Linked DNA regions of Arabidopsis thaliana. The protein of the gene in region 3 interacts with the protein of the main gene of each other region in a pairwise test. Each region holds a gene or a part of one and is shown on either strand. Other genes may lie near its edges.

What was found. Proteins that work in one complex are often made in the same cells at the same time.
Region 1: the proteins of TCP3 (region 3) and IAA33 interact in binary tests that used the Arabidopsis thaliana proteins (3 or more experiments, as listed by UniProt).
Region 2: the proteins of TCP3 (region 3) and ERF11 interact in binary tests that used the Arabidopsis thaliana proteins (3 or more experiments, as listed by UniProt).

Annotation. Positions count from the first base shown.
Region 1 is NC_003076.8:23,267,820-23,272,998, forward strand, and holds IAA33 (indole-3-acetic acid inducible 33), read left to right. Parts: upstream 1-2,094; 5' UTR 2,095-2,204; coding exon 2,205-2,641; intron 2,642-3,061; coding exon 3,062-3,140; 3' UTR 3,141-3,273; downstream 3,274-5,179. Other genes in the region: GS1 (Haloacid dehalogenase-like hydrolase (HAD) superfamily protein), read right to left, coding at 3,699-3,828, 3,905-3,984, 4,085-4,232, 4,335-4,395, 4,505-4,729, 5,003-5,081. UniProt on the Arabidopsis thaliana protein: Aux/IAA proteins are short-lived transcriptional factors that function as repressors of early auxin response genes at low auxin concentrations.
Region 2 is NC_003070.9:9,953,910-9,959,303, reverse strand, and holds ERF11 (ERF domain protein 11), read left to right. Parts: upstream 1-2,323; 5' UTR 2,324-2,338; coding exon 2,339-2,953; 3' UTR 2,954-3,488; downstream 3,489-5,394.
Region 3 is NC_003070.9:19,848,036-19,854,145, reverse strand, and holds TCP3 (TEOSINTE BRANCHED 1, cycloidea and PCF transcription factor 3), read left to right. Parts: upstream 1-2,420; 5' UTR 2,421-2,710; coding exon 2,711-3,886; 3' UTR 3,887-3,944; exon of another isoform or gene 3,945-3,945; intron 3,946-4,038; 3' UTR 4,039-4,358; downstream 4,359-6,110. UniProt on the Arabidopsis thaliana protein: Plays a pivotal role in the control of morphogenesis of shoot organs by negatively regulating the expression of boundary-specific genes such as CUC genes, probably through the induction of miRNA (e.g. miR164). Participates in ovule development.

The DNA.
Region 1 (5,179 bases), on a different chromosome or scaffold from region 3:
AAAAGTTTTTAAAACCTTTTTCACTTTGCTTTTTATTTCAGTAATAATAATCAAAAGGATTTGTTTTTGTGATAATGAGCTTTAAGGAAATGATCCTGTGAAGAGACACCTACTGGCTTCAGTGCTCCTCCACGTGATTTTGACGCGCCAACTGTTTAGGCTTTAAGAGAAGGAAGAATGTGGGCCCATACTGTTTTAATTGGGCCTATTAAGGCTTTATTGAGCTGATGTGTAAGGCCTGTTTAGACTTGTGCTAATGTTGGATGAGCATGACAAAATGATTATCATTGTTTGGTTAGAAACAGACCAAAACAGCGGGTAAGTGTTTGATTGTTATTTAAATTTTGATTATTATCGGGGAGTGGAATAAGCAAACATTAACGTATGTCTGTAGAATCGAAAAAAAACAAAAATCGAGACAAATTAATTAGATGATTAAATATAACATGTAGACGTAGTAATGTGTTAAACTATAGTCCTAAATTGAGATCTATGAAACCGAGGTAAGTTTTAAATATTTCCATGCCTCCATGTCGGATCTTCGAGTCTTCTAATTCGAATCCCGAGTTGAAATTTAAATGTATAGAGTAAATTATTGTTTGCTTCAAACTTAAGAAAATATGCTTCTTGTGCTTCGTTTTATGTCTTCTTGGGTTTGCTTTAGCTTATTCACCTATTGCTTGTTGGATCCACCGTTAATTTTTCATTTAATAGTCCATATGAAAATCAACATTTTAGCATAAAATTACAATTTTAGGCACAGTTATTTGACTCATACATGATTTACCTATACATTTGGTCACTCAACTTAATTATTTGCGATTTTAAAATCGTGTATAATGTTTTAAAATGACTTGAATTGGAATCAACTAATTTTAGGTAGCTCGAACAAACTTGTTATTTATTTATTTTCAGATAAGTTCCGTACACCAAAATCTATAACCGAAAAGACTTTGGATTATATTGTATGAGTTTAGAGTGCAATTCTTCTTTTTTTCCCTCTTTTTTGATCTAAGAAATTTCTAATTAAGTTCACATATTTTCTTGGATCTAATCACTCTAAACAACTCCTCCCAAATAACATGAGTTTTCATTATTATTAGAGGGGTGATGTCTACATTTTGGACCAAGGTCTAATACTTTGTTTTACTTTCGTCAAACCGAGTTAAATCCGAGAAGTATGAGATCAAACGTTAAACGTATTCATGTGTGTGTATGTGATGTTACATGGATAAATGGCTATGCATGTATATTCTATATGACGTTGATGTGTGGTCGTGTGGATATATGCGTGTGTTTACCGGTTAATACAATTTTTATATTCTTCGTATGTATGCTTGATGTGTGTATTAGTGTATGAAAAGAAAATGACGTGGAACTCCCGACCAGGCGCGAGTCAAGGAAGCGAGGCGTTCGGCGACGGCAGCGCGGTCGTCTCCGCAGCCCATGCGTTACAATTTACAAGATCTCTTTTTCTATGATACCTTCTTTCATTATTTAATTAATCACCAATTTATAATGTCTTTAATTAATTTGGAGTTTTCTAGCTAATTCACATTTCTTATTATATTGACTCTTTTTCACTGTTTTTATGTTTTCCCATCAGCTTTCTTTTTGTCCACGTAAACATTTCCAAACATTTTTATTTTAAAATTTCTTTATACTTGTATACATAAATACCTAATACCTTGCTGGTAATATATGGTCAAAATTAGTGAAACCTTGGAACATTTCCTGTAACAGCTCTTATTACTCTCACAGTCGCAGTGATAGATATATAGTAGAATAAGTTAGCAAAATACAATAATTGTAAAAACACATTTAATACATAAGCATGTGAGAACATTTTTACGTGAATCCAATTGTTCATTGAATAATTAAATATTAAATTGATTGTTAATTGAGGATTCATTGTCTAACGAGAAATCCAAAGAGCAGATGTACTTTCAAATTAAATGAAACATTTAAGACAACATTAAACCAAACGAAAATTGAAAAATGAAAAATAAAAGACACCTTTTTGTTTGCCACACAATTTACGCTTTCTCTATCTATTTATATGTACATACATTCACTTTCACCAGAATCTCATCAAACACACAGTCTCTCTCTAGCTTAACAAAAAAACACGAAACACTTTGAGTTCCATGTAAGCGTCCGTTGTCTTCTCTAAGTTACAAAAGCCCTAAAACCCTACTCTCAATATGAATAGTTTCGAGCCACAAAGCCAAGACTCTTTGCAAAGAAGGTTTCATCAAGACAACAGCACCACACAACAACCTCGTGACACCACGACACCTTTCATACCCAAACCGGCTTCCAAAAACCATAATAATAGCAACTCCAGCTCTGGAGCGGCCGGGAGATCATTCCAAGGCTTTGGGCTTAACGTAGAGGACGATCTTGTTTCATCGGTGGTTCCTCCGGTTACGGTTGTGCTAGAGGGACGTTCTATATGTCAACGCATAAGCCTAGACAAGCATGGGAGTTATCAGAGCTTGGCTTCGGCTCTAAGGCAAATGTTTGTCGATGGAGCTGATTCAACGGACGATCTTGATCTGTCAAACGCCATTCCTGGCCATCTTATTGCTTATGAAGACATGGAGAACGATCTCCTTCTTGCCGGAGATCTTACTTGGAAGTAATTTTCCTCCCCTAACATTAATTTTCTTTATTATTGTCAGGATGGCCATATATATACAAACTATATATAAAACGAGCCTTATTTTAAACATAGGAAAACTATATTAATTTTTTTTCCCCTAACGGTAAAATACTACAAACACAAGTTTTTCAAGCTGCCAAGAAAACACATGTTCTCTGCTTTTCTAAAAAGACAAATATCAATAATTTAGTGAAATGATATTTTGTTGCTATCCTTATTCTGTATACTCAATTTTGCTGGCTATAGTTATTTTGTTTGATACCGTTATATATCTTTCTTAAAAATTACGGTTTTCGTTCAATGTTTAGTATAATTAGATTTTGAAGGTTTCGTGATCTTTAACTGGCAATATTTTAATACTTGGACGTTAACGAGAAAATTTGCTTGTTGACACAGGGACTTTGTTCGTGTAGCGAAGAGAATTCGAATCTTGCCGGTCAAGGGAAACACAAGACAAGTTAAAAGAAACGAGTGAGGAGGAGAAAGACCGTTTTTGCAACGATGTCATACGATGTTTTGTAACAGCCGATGTCGGTTGAATCCTAATGGCATTACTGTAAAATCATCATTGGATGTGTTTGCTTCTTTGTTCACGTACGAAATGAAAAATAAAAAAAAAGTTGTAATACTAAATATAACCTATTTTTCTTAATTATAGTGTAAAACATGAAACGTTGCAGTAACAACACATGTTAGTGATGCGTAAAGAAGAGAGATTCCAAACCATAAAGAAGGAATCAATTCAGCTATACCGACAAGAACAAAATAAGATAAGCCAATGTTGAAACTTGTGGGTAAGAGTAGTTGTACAAAAATAATTTGTTTAAACGTTGAGGCAAATTTTTTTGTTTGGTCTCTCGTCATGTCACCACTTAGTTTCTTTTTATGTCTTCAATAGCCAGAAAATCATAGAACCCTTGACGACATAAAGCCTCATGGCCTTTGTCATGTACATGCCAAAACAATATAACAAGACAAAGAATAAGCTTCATGATTTGAGTTTTTATCATTACCTTGAAGACGTTTGTATCGTTTAGTTCGAATCTTCGAATGGAGGCAAGCCCCACTCTTCCGGTTTAAAATCGACTAGAGAGGTTATGATTTGATCTGCAACATCTTGGTGAGAGATATCTAGTCTAGGATCCGGTACCATAACCACGTTCCTGTAGATAGACATCAAGATGTATAAACTTGTTTCTCGGTTTTTATTGGCTTTTACATGAAGAGAAACCCACTTACATTCCGGCGTTTTTAGCAGCAAGAACTCCAGATGGAGCATCTTCAAACACCAGAACCTTTTGTGAATCCACAGGACCGTCCTAAGGAATCCAGACGAAGAGGAAACATTAGTCTACAACTCATTTTAAATATGAACTAGTTAGTAATGGAGAATCTTGGAGACTGTTGCCTGTTAGTTACCTTAAATCTCCTAGCAGCAGCGAGAAACCCGTCAGGAGCAGGCTTTCCTTGCTTCACCTCTGGATCATCACCACGAACTACGTGATGCATCAATGAGAAAAGCTCTCTGTGTCTTTGGGTTTTCAGATCATAATGCCGTGTGTGAGTACTGCAAGCGTACAATCAAACATAACAAGTCAGTTTCTGGATTGTAAAGGACAATGAGAATGCAAACTAAATGGTATATTATGAGATGAGGTGAAGAGATTACCCGGTAGCAATACATATTGGAATATTCTTTACATGGAGATGCTTAATGAGTCTACTAGCCCCTGAAAATGTGGAAGAGAATTGGTTCATGACCACATCAAAAACATAAATATCCGTACATGTAATCTTCCTGTGAACCAAATGTCATGTGTTACAAAAAGCAGAATCTACCTGGCATGAGCTCACTAGTAGGGAAAAGGTCTTGCAACATTGACTCTCTCTCGACAAGAAAGTCCTCAGCTGAAAGAGAGTCGCTAATCCCGCTTTCTTCAACAAAGATCCTGGCAGCTTCTATTGCTTTTCTACCCATCATTTTAGCCTTGAGAGACCAATCAAACTTTTTATTGAACCTAGCAAGTATAATCTCTTGGACCTCAGTGTAAAACTTCTCAGTATCTGCAACAGAAACCAAATCAGCATGAATGTATGCAGCAAGAGCAGATAAGCCAATGAAGTTGTGAGATTTTGAATACACAGAACAAAAACTCAATCGCTCGATTTCCGATCAGATTCAAGCTAATTGCTTTAGCATCTTAACATCAATTGTATGAAATCAATCCTGGAAACTAAACAGTCACTACTAAAAAAACCATCAAATCTAAACAACGATAGTGACAGTAGTACGATCTAATAAAGCTGGAGATTGAAGATCAGATGCAAGGAGATTACCGAGAAGAAGACCGTCCATGTCGAATATGACGTGAGTGATTGATCCTCTGCCGGCGGTGACGGCTGCAGGATTCGACATTGTTGATTCGATACCGATAACGACGAACCGAATCCAGTTTCAGTCGGAAGTTAGTTTTTACGCTGGAGAGTGATGTCACTATGACGTATAACAAAAGG
Region 2 (5,394 bases), 9.9 Mb from region 3:
TCAAAATGTGTCTGTTTTAAGTAACACATAAGTAAGTAATCATTCTTTGTTTTAAAAAAAAAATACATATATTTGTTTTTAAGATATGGTTTAATTGTTCTACCAATTATTGAGCGTAAAGGCTGCATGTGTGCTTCGTCAAGCCATCCGCAGCCGCATGTGAGACCAGTTTAAGTATTTGCAGTATTTGCAATATTGGCTACGATTTTCTGTTTTTTTGGAAGAAGAAGAGTTTTCAAAAAAAATATTTTCGTTTTGAATCATCAATATAAACACATAGTTAAATTTGGGTGAATATTTTAAAAAGATAAACACCAACCTAAATTTATGAATAGCTACGCAACCTCAACTTCGTTTACCAAGCTATGAAAAAAATAGAATTAAACAATTTGGAGGACTAATTCTTTAAATAGAACTTGTTAGAATATATTATGATTTGTTTGTGTATATCTATACTTTTTTTAATTGTATATTTACTCAAATAAGATCTTTCTCAATTCAGTCATACCATCTAGAATGACAAAAGATTCTTTCATCTTACATGGTATTAAAATCCTTTGATCTTTAAATTCTATAAATTACAGCGCTGTCTTTTTTCTTTGCTATGCCGCTGCTGCCTAAACAAAACACCACCACCATCATATCTATAATAAATTAAAATTTATAATAAAAACAACTTAAAATTAATCTGATAAAAAAACAAATTAACAAATATCATGGTTGGAATATGTTTGTTTTCTTTCGTATCGTTTGCTTTATCAGTAAACAAATAATTGATTTTTACCATTCGCGTTAGTAGTTATTAAATATTTGATAAGATTATTGTGACGGCAAATTTTATTGGAATATATAAATAAACATATTAAATTTTAAATTTAACATAATACTATATATAACGATATTATTATATTTTCAGCTTATTAAAATAGTTATAAATTTTTAAATGGTTAGATTTATATTTACTGTGTTATATATAGTGTTAACATATCATTCATAAATATGATGTAAAAATATATGATTGTATTAAAATTTGAAATATTTTCTCTCGTGACAGCTTGCCAACTATCAATAATTAGGAAGATAAGTAATTGTATACAGTATTTGTTTTCTTTACTACTCAATACATGATAAATTTTTAATACTTAAAGATATATATAATTTCATTTAATAATAATTATTTCAATTGATAATTAAATAATAACACATGTCATATGTTTGTTAATTTATATATATAGAGAAACATTGGTATGCAACTCTCCATATCTTTACTTATATTTGTATTTGAGGATAAAATTTGTTTGAAATAATTACTATGTTGATAAATTTATGATATTTATAAGAACATTAGGAAAGTTTCTTTTTGAAAATAAGCAACTGATTCAATTTTGTATCAAATCATACACTTAAAATTATCTCTTTTAAAAACCAGATTTAAAAAATAATAATTAGATGAAAATATAGTTTTTTTTGTCAGAAATATAAATTATAATTTGAGAATGTCATTAACGAATCATTTCTAGTAATAATAAATATATTTTTTTTAATTTTTCTATAAAATCAATTGAAAGTTGTTTTCATCACCATAAGTCAATTGAAAGTTGTTTTCCTATTTCTTTATTTTTAATAAGAAAATAAGAATAAATAATAAAAACACTCTGAAGTATATTTTTCCAAAACAAAAAATCAAAATATGACAAGCAATATACAATAAAAAAAGAAGCAAAACATATTTTTATTTTTATTTTTTTATAGCAAAATATAAATTGTTTCCATGCAAAGCCTAAAATTAAAAACGGTAGACCCATATAAACTCAATAATAACTACTACTTTTTATCCTTTCCTCTAAAAAATAAAAGATGACAACATACTTAATCTCGGATTTTAGTAACAAATAATTAAACAGATATACATATCAAAATTAAACTCGCATTTAATCAAAAATAACAGATCTAAAATCATTATCACACATCGTGTCTGTTTACAGTTTGCTAACCAATAGAAGCAGACAACACAAGTCAACACGTGTCAAGCAAGCGCGTGGGCTCCTCACCACACGCAATATATAGAAAATCCAAATAAAATCAATCAAAAAATTAACAAACTATAAAAAAAAAACATTAATATCAACATAATAAATAAAAACATTTAAGAAAATAACCACTAAATAGATAAAATGTCTTTTAGTAATAAGAAAAAAAAAAAAAAAAAAGCTTCTTCACTCTCACTTTCCTCTTTCGTGGAGACAAAAAAAAGAAGCCACGTAATATGGATTTAATTACCAAAACTGCCACTCGGCCGCCCCTTTGTTGACTTATATTTGTCGTCTCCTCCTTATAAATGATGTCCTCACAAACTTCTTCACATAACAAACTCATCAAACTTCCTCAGCGTTTCTTTTTCTTACATAAACAATTTTTCTTACATAAACAAATCTTGTTGTTTGTTGTTGTCATGGCACCGACAGTTAAAACGGCGGCCGTCAAAACCAACGAAGGTAACGGAGTCCGTTACAGAGGAGTGAGGAAGAGACCATGGGGACGTTACGCAGCCGAGATCAGAGATCCTTTCAAGAAGTCACGTGTCTGGCTCGGTACTTTCGACACTCCTGAAGAAGCCGCTCGTGCCTACGACAAACGTGCTATTGAGTTTCGTGGAGCTAAAGCCAAAACCAACTTCCCTTGTTACAACATCAACGCCCACTGCTTGAGTTTGACACAGAGCCTGAGCCAGAGCAGCACCGTGGAATCATCGTTTCCTAATCTCAACCTCGGATCTGACTCTGTTAGTTCGAGATTCCCTTTTCCTAAGATTCAGGTTAAGGCTGGGATGATGGTGTTCGATGAAAGGAGTGAATCGGATTCTTCGTCGGTGGTGATGGATGTCGTTAGATATGAAGGACGACGTGTGGTTTTGGACTTGGATCTTAATTTCCCTCCTCCACCTGAGAACTGATTAAGATTTAATTATGATTATTAGATATAATTAAATGTTTCTGAATTGAGTATTATTTGATCATCATCTAAGTAGAAGCTTTAAGTTTAAGTGGTGCCAATAATTTTTTTTTTTTTTTTTGGTCATCAGCAGATAGTTTTAAAGAATTTTTTAGTGTTGAGATCGTGTTTCGTTCAGATCTGCTGATGTTCTTTTAAATATCATTAATGATAATCCTGATCAACTAAAATGATACTTTGTTTTGGTATTAATCTCTCTGATGAACATATAAGGTTGTTGATCTTATGTTTTTTACCTATATCCAATTGGATTTGAGGAAATAGTAGGATTCTTAATTATTTTTTTAATAAACAAATATAATGGAGATAATACTTTATTCAGGATAATGAGATTATTGGTCAAATATAAAATTTGCTGTTTTGAACAAAAGCAATAATAAGTTATCTTGCTCGAATCAAGGAACACAAGCTAGGACAAGAAGCTCTAACTTTTCTTTGTAAAATTGTTAAACATAACGGCATTAGTTGTAAGAACGCTAATTTTTTTTTTTTTTTTAATTTATATATATATATATATTTTTAATAAATTATAGATAAGCAATCTATAATTTATATTATATTCAAAAACTAAAATAATAAGTTATCGTTTTGTTGTATTGTTTCTTGTTGTTATGGAAAGTGGCATTCGTAGATATCTTATGTTAATCGTTGTTTTAAGAAAAATATAGATTGTTTATCTAAATTGTATTTGGGTGTAGTCTATACCGTGTATAACACACTATTTTTTTTTTTCGTTAAAACTCAATTTACCTGAATTTTTTTTTTTTTTTAATTAAGATGAAATTTTGTATATCGATAACTTATATGATCATTTCTTATTTAATTTTCATTTTTGCCAATATGGAAAATGAATTGTACGGTTTTCATTCTTAGATTATAATATTTGTTATCTTTTCTATATATGAATGTACGATTTTTTATATGCGAATGTATTTTAACTTATCATTGACCAAAAGTCTATTATAGAAAAATAAAACATAGATATTGTGTCTTTTAATATATCTAAATAAAGAGAAAGTCATTTATACATGTATAGTTACTTATTTCTCCTAACCCATAATTTTTCTTTTGGACAAACTCCTAACCGATAGTTTATACACGTTTTGGTAGGAACTATAAATAGGTCGAGTCGTCGAGAGGTTAGCCATCTTTCAGATACTAATCTTTGGATTTCCTCTTTATTCTATATCAGTTTGGGGAATGGAAACTTGTTGGGGAAAGCCTGACATTAGATAGAGGCGGTAGTCTCATTGCTAAAAACATAACGTCTGATTATCGGCTGCAATCCTATATGGATACTGGCCATTTCTTATGGTTAAATGTTATGTTCTGCAATGAGAGAGTTTTGTCCTCTATGTGAGTATCAATTTTTTTGGCTTGAGAGATTCATAGGGAGCCTTATTTTTTGTACTGGCCAGAGAAAGCTTGTATGGTCGATTTGTATGGGTGAAGTTAAGAGTAGTGTAGCATCTAACTGTCTTTTGTATAAGTCGGATCAATAATGGCAAAATGTTAGATGAATACAGTAGTCCATGAGTATAGGTTTGCTCGATATATATCTCATTTCCATATACATACTTTACCTACAATATCTGTATCAACGTTAACAAAACTGAACTTGGACCTCGATTGCTAAACAGCCCATCAATTCTTTTGGCCCAAATATTAATGTTTATTGCTCCCCCCCCAAAAAAAAAGATTACTGTCAATTGTCAACAATGTCCATTGCCTTTCAATTATCTTATATAATATAACTAGATTTCAATTAGCTTATATAATTTTTTTGACAGAAATAATCTTGATTTTCTTAGCCTATCAGTTCTATATCAAATCTCAGAAATCCTTCATTTTGAATTTGTTGATTCTCGGAGATGAAGAAATCAAATGGGATACATAAAACTAACGATTAGTTCCTCTTGAATTTTTTTGAGCTAAAGGAATAATTTTTGAAGAGATTAGCCTTATTACCTAAATTCATGGGTTAAATAGGCACACAATATACTCACATAGAGCAAAAAGTTAAAAACTCAGAAATTGTAAACCAGAAACCAATAATTTCCAAAACCGCGGATAGTTTGTTGGGACTTATTTTGGACACATATCTTCGAACCATTTCATACACACAAAAGGCATTATTGATTATAAACCTCAAAAATTGATGGTCGGCCACTGCCGCCACACTTTCAAGAAAAATAGCACTAAATTGTTATAAGACTTTTTTGTTTGTTTTGTCAAATAATTATATAAACCTTAGGTATAAGGTTTATGAAAACGACAAGAGACACGCAAGGAAGGACTAAAATAAACAGTTAAGCCCATATAAAAAAAAAGTAATGTAGCAACCCAAAGTTTTGAATTGATTTTTCACTAACACAAGCGATA
Region 3 (6,110 bases):
AAAACTGAATTAAAGCATCGTCCTTTCACTTTTTTTTTTTTTAACATGGCACATGCATATTTATCATCCGTGTCAACATTCTTCCTTTCTTATATTTTTTTCACTAAAATTGCAAAACGGATTATTGGATCCACATTCGTCCTTTCTATATCCCTTTTCACGTAAACCAAATAATATGCCTCGATATATGATTAGTACCATATATTCTTTATTCTTTCTTTTGTGTACTCATGTATAATGTATTAGATTTATACAAGAAGACCCTAATAGACTCATTAACTCTAACAATTACCGTTAGTGTTTTTGTGTATTGCCCTTTAAAACTGTTCATGTTAGAGGAAACACTATTTGACCATCTAACTCTTGTAAACAAATCAAATAATCAGTTTATGTAAAATTATAAAGACGAATAAAAATAAAATATTTTACTACAATTCCCCTGAAAATGACTTAATACAAACTAATCATTTTGAAAGGGAATGGAAGAATGAATTTATAACTTTTCACAGTGCTTTAATTTCTTTTATTACGGAAAAAAATAAGACAATGGAAATAAACGAAATAAAACTAGGAAATTGACAGAAAAAATTGTGTTTATTTCTTTATCGGAAAAACAAGTTGACAAAAATAAATGAAAGGAATAAATATTGGGGAAAATAACTTAAGAGAGAGAGATAAGAGGAAATGACTATGAGGGTGATGGGGAGTGTACTTACTGACACACATGCGATCGAAAAACACTAAAAGCCTATAGGGTATATTCGTAAATTTATTTAGACTACACTTGGTTGAGTAGGTGCAATGGGAAACATTTATTTGAAATTTGATTCCATCTTTGCCTTACATATCGATACGTCATCTTTTTATGTGTGCATTGTCATTATTTGATGATCAAGAATATGGTACCAAATACATTATATATCAGAAAAGTTCGTATGACTACGGGTATTTAATTAAAAATACAGTACATGCATGGTCGGTGTGTATAATGGAGAAGTAGTTAGAAAGAGAATTTGTGGTAATGACAAAAAAATGGAAAACAATAATTGATTGTGTCCTAAACCAGTGAACCGTGCGATATTTCGTGCCTTTAAATTTGATGTTGCATGTCGTAGAACGATGTTTTGATAATTTCTTCTCTTGGGAAGGTAAAAGAAAAAATTATGGATTCAATGCAGATTGGCTCGATGAGTAGGAAACGCACTTACAAAAAACATAAATCTCCTATCTACAATCACATATTTCTTCTTATATCTCTCTTGAAATCTCTACATGAATCACACCTAAAATGTTCATATTTAATCACATACCATACTTGTATTAGTATGTCAAATGCTCGGGATTTCCTTGTTAACAAAAAAGAAAAAAAAAACTGATTGAGTTACCAAATTACGTATATATACACATTTTTATCTTTGTTTAAAGGAAATTCAAGTTAATTTTAAACTAAAACTATGTACAAGTATGTATCTCTATTATTTTCGTTTTCCATCTGAAACTTTACTACGTTTGGTTAATTAAAAGTGGGATTGACGAACAGTGGAGTTCGAGAACAGATAGTGGAAAGGAGCATAGACAATGGTTGATTATAGGGATACTGTCGAATCCTACGGATACTGGTGATGCATTTTACAGGGTGTAACCTCTAAAACCAATACAATTTGATTCGATGAAAATAATACTTTATTTGTTTAAAATAATACCATCAATATTAGTTTATACCGCCCAATTATTAGTGTCTCCAACTCTCCAACAGATCTAAAAGCTTTACTTTTTAGTTTTTATTATAAAAGAAATCTTCTTGTATTGTCTTTTTTTCCAACAACCCAAAACCTTTACTACCTCAAAAGTTCTGTATTAATATTTTCTAACACAGTACAGAACAATCTTTGACTTGGTAAAATTTGGGTTTATTAGTGCTTATAGTTTCTATCATCTTTAACAAAAAAAAATAGTGGTAGTCAGAACCAAACCTAAGAGGACTATGTATATGTGTTGATATTCTTACAGTAACCTCTACCAAAATATATCCATTGTAATGTATATAGCTAATACAATTCGAAATGTCATGTAAAATATTTCCACATGATGAATCGGACAAAAGCTTTTTGTTTTTCATTTAGAAAAACCATAAAATATATAATATAAAATAAGAAAACACTTTAAAAATGAAATAAAAGCACAAGTGATGATGATGAGTATCAGAGAGCTCTTTTTATGACCAAACACACTCCTTCCATTACCATTTCCCTCTCTTCCCCAAACCCCAAAATCTCTTCCTTTTTTTACCGTTACTGTAAATTTTCCGGCCAGAAACAAAAAATTAAAAAGAGCTTTCCTGGATTCTCGTTTAGTCAATTCCACATCTCTCTATCTCTTCTCTCTCTTCTTGCTTCCTCTGTTTTTGCTTCTTGAATTCTCAGAAACAGAGACAAATTCTAAAAAAGAAACAATCTTTAGACAAAAGAAGAGAAATTTAGTCATGGGTTAGTCTGCAAAATTCAATTACGTCTTCTTCTTCTTCTTCTTCTTCATCTTTGATTTGTTGGCGTGTTTAGGGTTTGGGATTTGGAGGAGAGGCAAAATGTTGAATTAAATAAATCGAACGACTCTGGATTCCTCGGCGGTTAACGACCGCCGTCGCCGCCGCCGTCATAATCCAACCACCACCACCATCAACGACCTTGAATTTCCACAATATGCTTCATCAATGGCACCAGATAACGACCATTTCTTAGATTCTCCGTCGCCGCCTCTTCTAGAGATGAGACACCACCAATCAGCGACGGAGAACGGTGGTGGTTGCGGCGAGATTGTGGAGGTACAAGGAGGTCACATTGTTCGGTCAACAGGAAGAAAAGACAGACATAGTAAAGTATGTACAGCGAAAGGACCACGTGACCGGCGCGTGAGACTCTCAGCTCCGACGGCGATTCAATTCTACGATGTTCAAGATAGACTTGGTTTTGATCGACCAAGTAAAGCTGTTGATTGGCTTATTACTAAAGCTAAATCCGCCATTGATGATCTTGCTCAGCTTCCTCCTTGGAACCCCGCCGATACTCTTCGTCAACACGCCGCCGCTGCTGCTAACGCTAAACCCAGAAAAACCAAAACTTTAATTTCTCCGCCACCGCCACAACCGGAAGAAACAGAGCATCATCGAATCGGAGAAGAAGAAGATAACGAATCGAGTTTTCTTCCGGCGTCAATGGATTCTGATTCGATAGCTGACACTATAAAGTCGTTTTTTCCGGTAGCTTCAACGCAACAGAGCTATCATCATCAGCCACCGTCACGAGGCAATACACAGAACCAAGATCTTCTTCGTCTCTCGCTTCAATCTTTCCAAAATGGTCCACCTTTTCCTAATCAAACAGAACCTGCTCTGTTCTCCGGCCAGAGCAATAATCAGTTAGCGTTTGACTCATCGACGGCAAGCTGGGAACAGAGTCATCAGTCACCGGAATTTGGAAAGATACAGAGACTAGTGTCATGGAACAACGTCGGAGCAGCTGAATCCGCCGGAAGTACCGGAGGATTTGTGTTTGCTTCTCCGTCGTCGTTGCATCCAGTTTATAGCCAAAGTCAGCTTTTATCACAGAGGGGTCCCCTTCAGTCCATTAACACACCTATGATTCGTGCTTGGTTTGATCCTCACCATCATCATCATCATCATCAGCAGTCCATGACCACTGACGATCTCCACCATCATCATCCCTACCATATCCCTCCCGGGATTCACCAATCTGCTATTCCAGGCATTGCATTTGCTTCAAGTGGTGAATTCTCCGGTTTTCGTATACCAGCACGGTTTCAAGGCGAACAAGAGGAGCACGGCGGCGACAACAAGCCGTCCTCTGCTTCATCCGATTCTCGCCATTAAACAAGTTCCAAAAACACATAAGATTGTGCAACACAACAGGTTTCTTTTCATATTCCAGGTTTGAAGTTTTTCGAAAACAACACCCATTTGTGAAAGTCTTGTCTTTTAACCATTCATCAAATTGATAACTTACATTGTTTTTAACGTTTCAGGGCGCTTCGAATGCGTGGAATAGTGAAGGCGGTTTTCGTTGTTGTGTGTTTCGAATATCCAAATGGCCTATAAATCTGATCAACAGTTTCAGGTTCTTCTTAAGTCTTTAAAAGCCTAGGCCTTGGTTAATTTGAATTCATCTTGTATCAATTAGAGAACGTTCTGTAAGTTCAATTCTGTTTTACAATGTTTAGCTCTAGCTACATGAGCTCACATCTTGTTTGTTGTAACTTGTTCTACAATTACTTGTCCTTTATTTATGTTCTTGTGTTGGAAACCTTTAACCCCACTTGAAGCTAAAGTCTTTTGTTTGCCCTTTATTCCATGTGGGTTTAATGCTTTCCCCAAGAAATATCTCATTTTGTTTGCCAATCCCAAAGAGGAACAGTGCTCTATCCATCTACATCAATCATCATATTGTTTGGTTTAGCGTTTATTAGAAGTATTATCTTCCCAATCTCTGTGGTTATAAACTTTCTTTTGACTAGCAAATGGAATTTGAAACAATCATTTCTCTTGTGTTTCTTAGTCTCTTCTTTTGGCCCCATAGATGAAGAGTCACTTTCCATAGACAGGGTTTGCATGTGTTGCTTCTTTTGGAGTTTAGAGTTTAGAATTATGGGTTTCTTTTAAAATTTGTTTAGTGGATGCAAGCTCTGATACTTAGTAAGAGTTTTGGCCCATGATCCACGGATCCCTATATAAATATCAGAGAAATGGTTTTTGACTTCTTTTCATAGAATCTTCCTCAATACTAGATTTCAAGATTTTATGAAAAAGGAGCAAAAGAGAATTTGATGTCTAGTGTCAAATAACTGTCTACTTTAAACAAGAGTGTAGGAGATCCACCGAACTTGAGTGTGATGTAGTCTTTAATAAGTAAAAAAGAATAGGACATTAGATTAGTAGATGAAGACACTCTTGTTGGTCTAAATGAAGGAAGTTGAAAGCAGAGCAAGTCTCTTTCTTTTCAGATCAATAGTGTGAAGGTATGAATTTTTGTCCATAATTTGTCGATTTTTGGCTATAATATCTTTCGGAAAGAAAACTTTGGTTTCTTATGGAGAAGTTATATAAAGAAGCAACACTTTACATGAGATGGGATAAGATGAGATTGGAAGTAGTGGCTAGACATCCGAAAGTAAATTGCAGCATAAAAAAGAAAAAGACAGCCTGAATCATATCCATTCTACATTTTAAAATTCTGTTATCTTTTCTTCTTCTTTTGTTCCTTCCTTGTAACCTTCTTGTTCAAATGTATATGATTGATGTACATACAATAAATGTAGCTCATGATGAATCTGGTTATGTGAAAAGATCAATGAGGTAAAAGAAACCTCTATGATTTTGGGGGCATGACAGAAGAAAAAGGGAATGTTGAAGAAGACATGAATGATAATAATAAAAAAGGATAGCAAAGTGTAAGAAAAGGATGAAACCAAAATGGGAAAAAAGGTTGTCACCTTTAAAGAATGGTCCCCTCTCTCTATTTCTTTCTATCTCTTGTCAGATCTCAAGGTTACATACAGCTGTCTTACTTTTCTTTGATTTTTCTTCATTCTATTCCATAGCCAATGATAATTTTCCAAAAAAAGAAGAAAAGAGTCGCAAAATGGCTCAAAACTTGATTGTTGGATAGTGGTCTAAAACCATTATTGTTAGTTTGCATCTCTCTTCAGAGGATGAGGTTACAACAAAAAGTTTTAAAACCGGCTCTTTTGGTTATTAAGTAATGAGGTTACTACGTTTGATGTTGTTTGAGTTAACCGGTTTCATTTACTGAATGATAAGAAGCCAACCAAATTTGATCCAATTTTCCTTATTGACACTAAAAGTTTATGTTCCTTCAAACACCATCAAATTCTGGCAGGCATGAATTTTCTGATTTACATTTGGTTTAGCTTCATACACAAAATGATGATATCAAGAGTTAAGGACCGAACCAAAAAAAAGAAGTTAGAGCTCGTCTTTCAAAAGGTTCTCCGGATTCATATACAGTTTTTGGGTCTAAAAATGTTTGTAAATAAGAATTCTATCGAAAATAATAAAGACTCAAGTTTTGGTCCCGGCG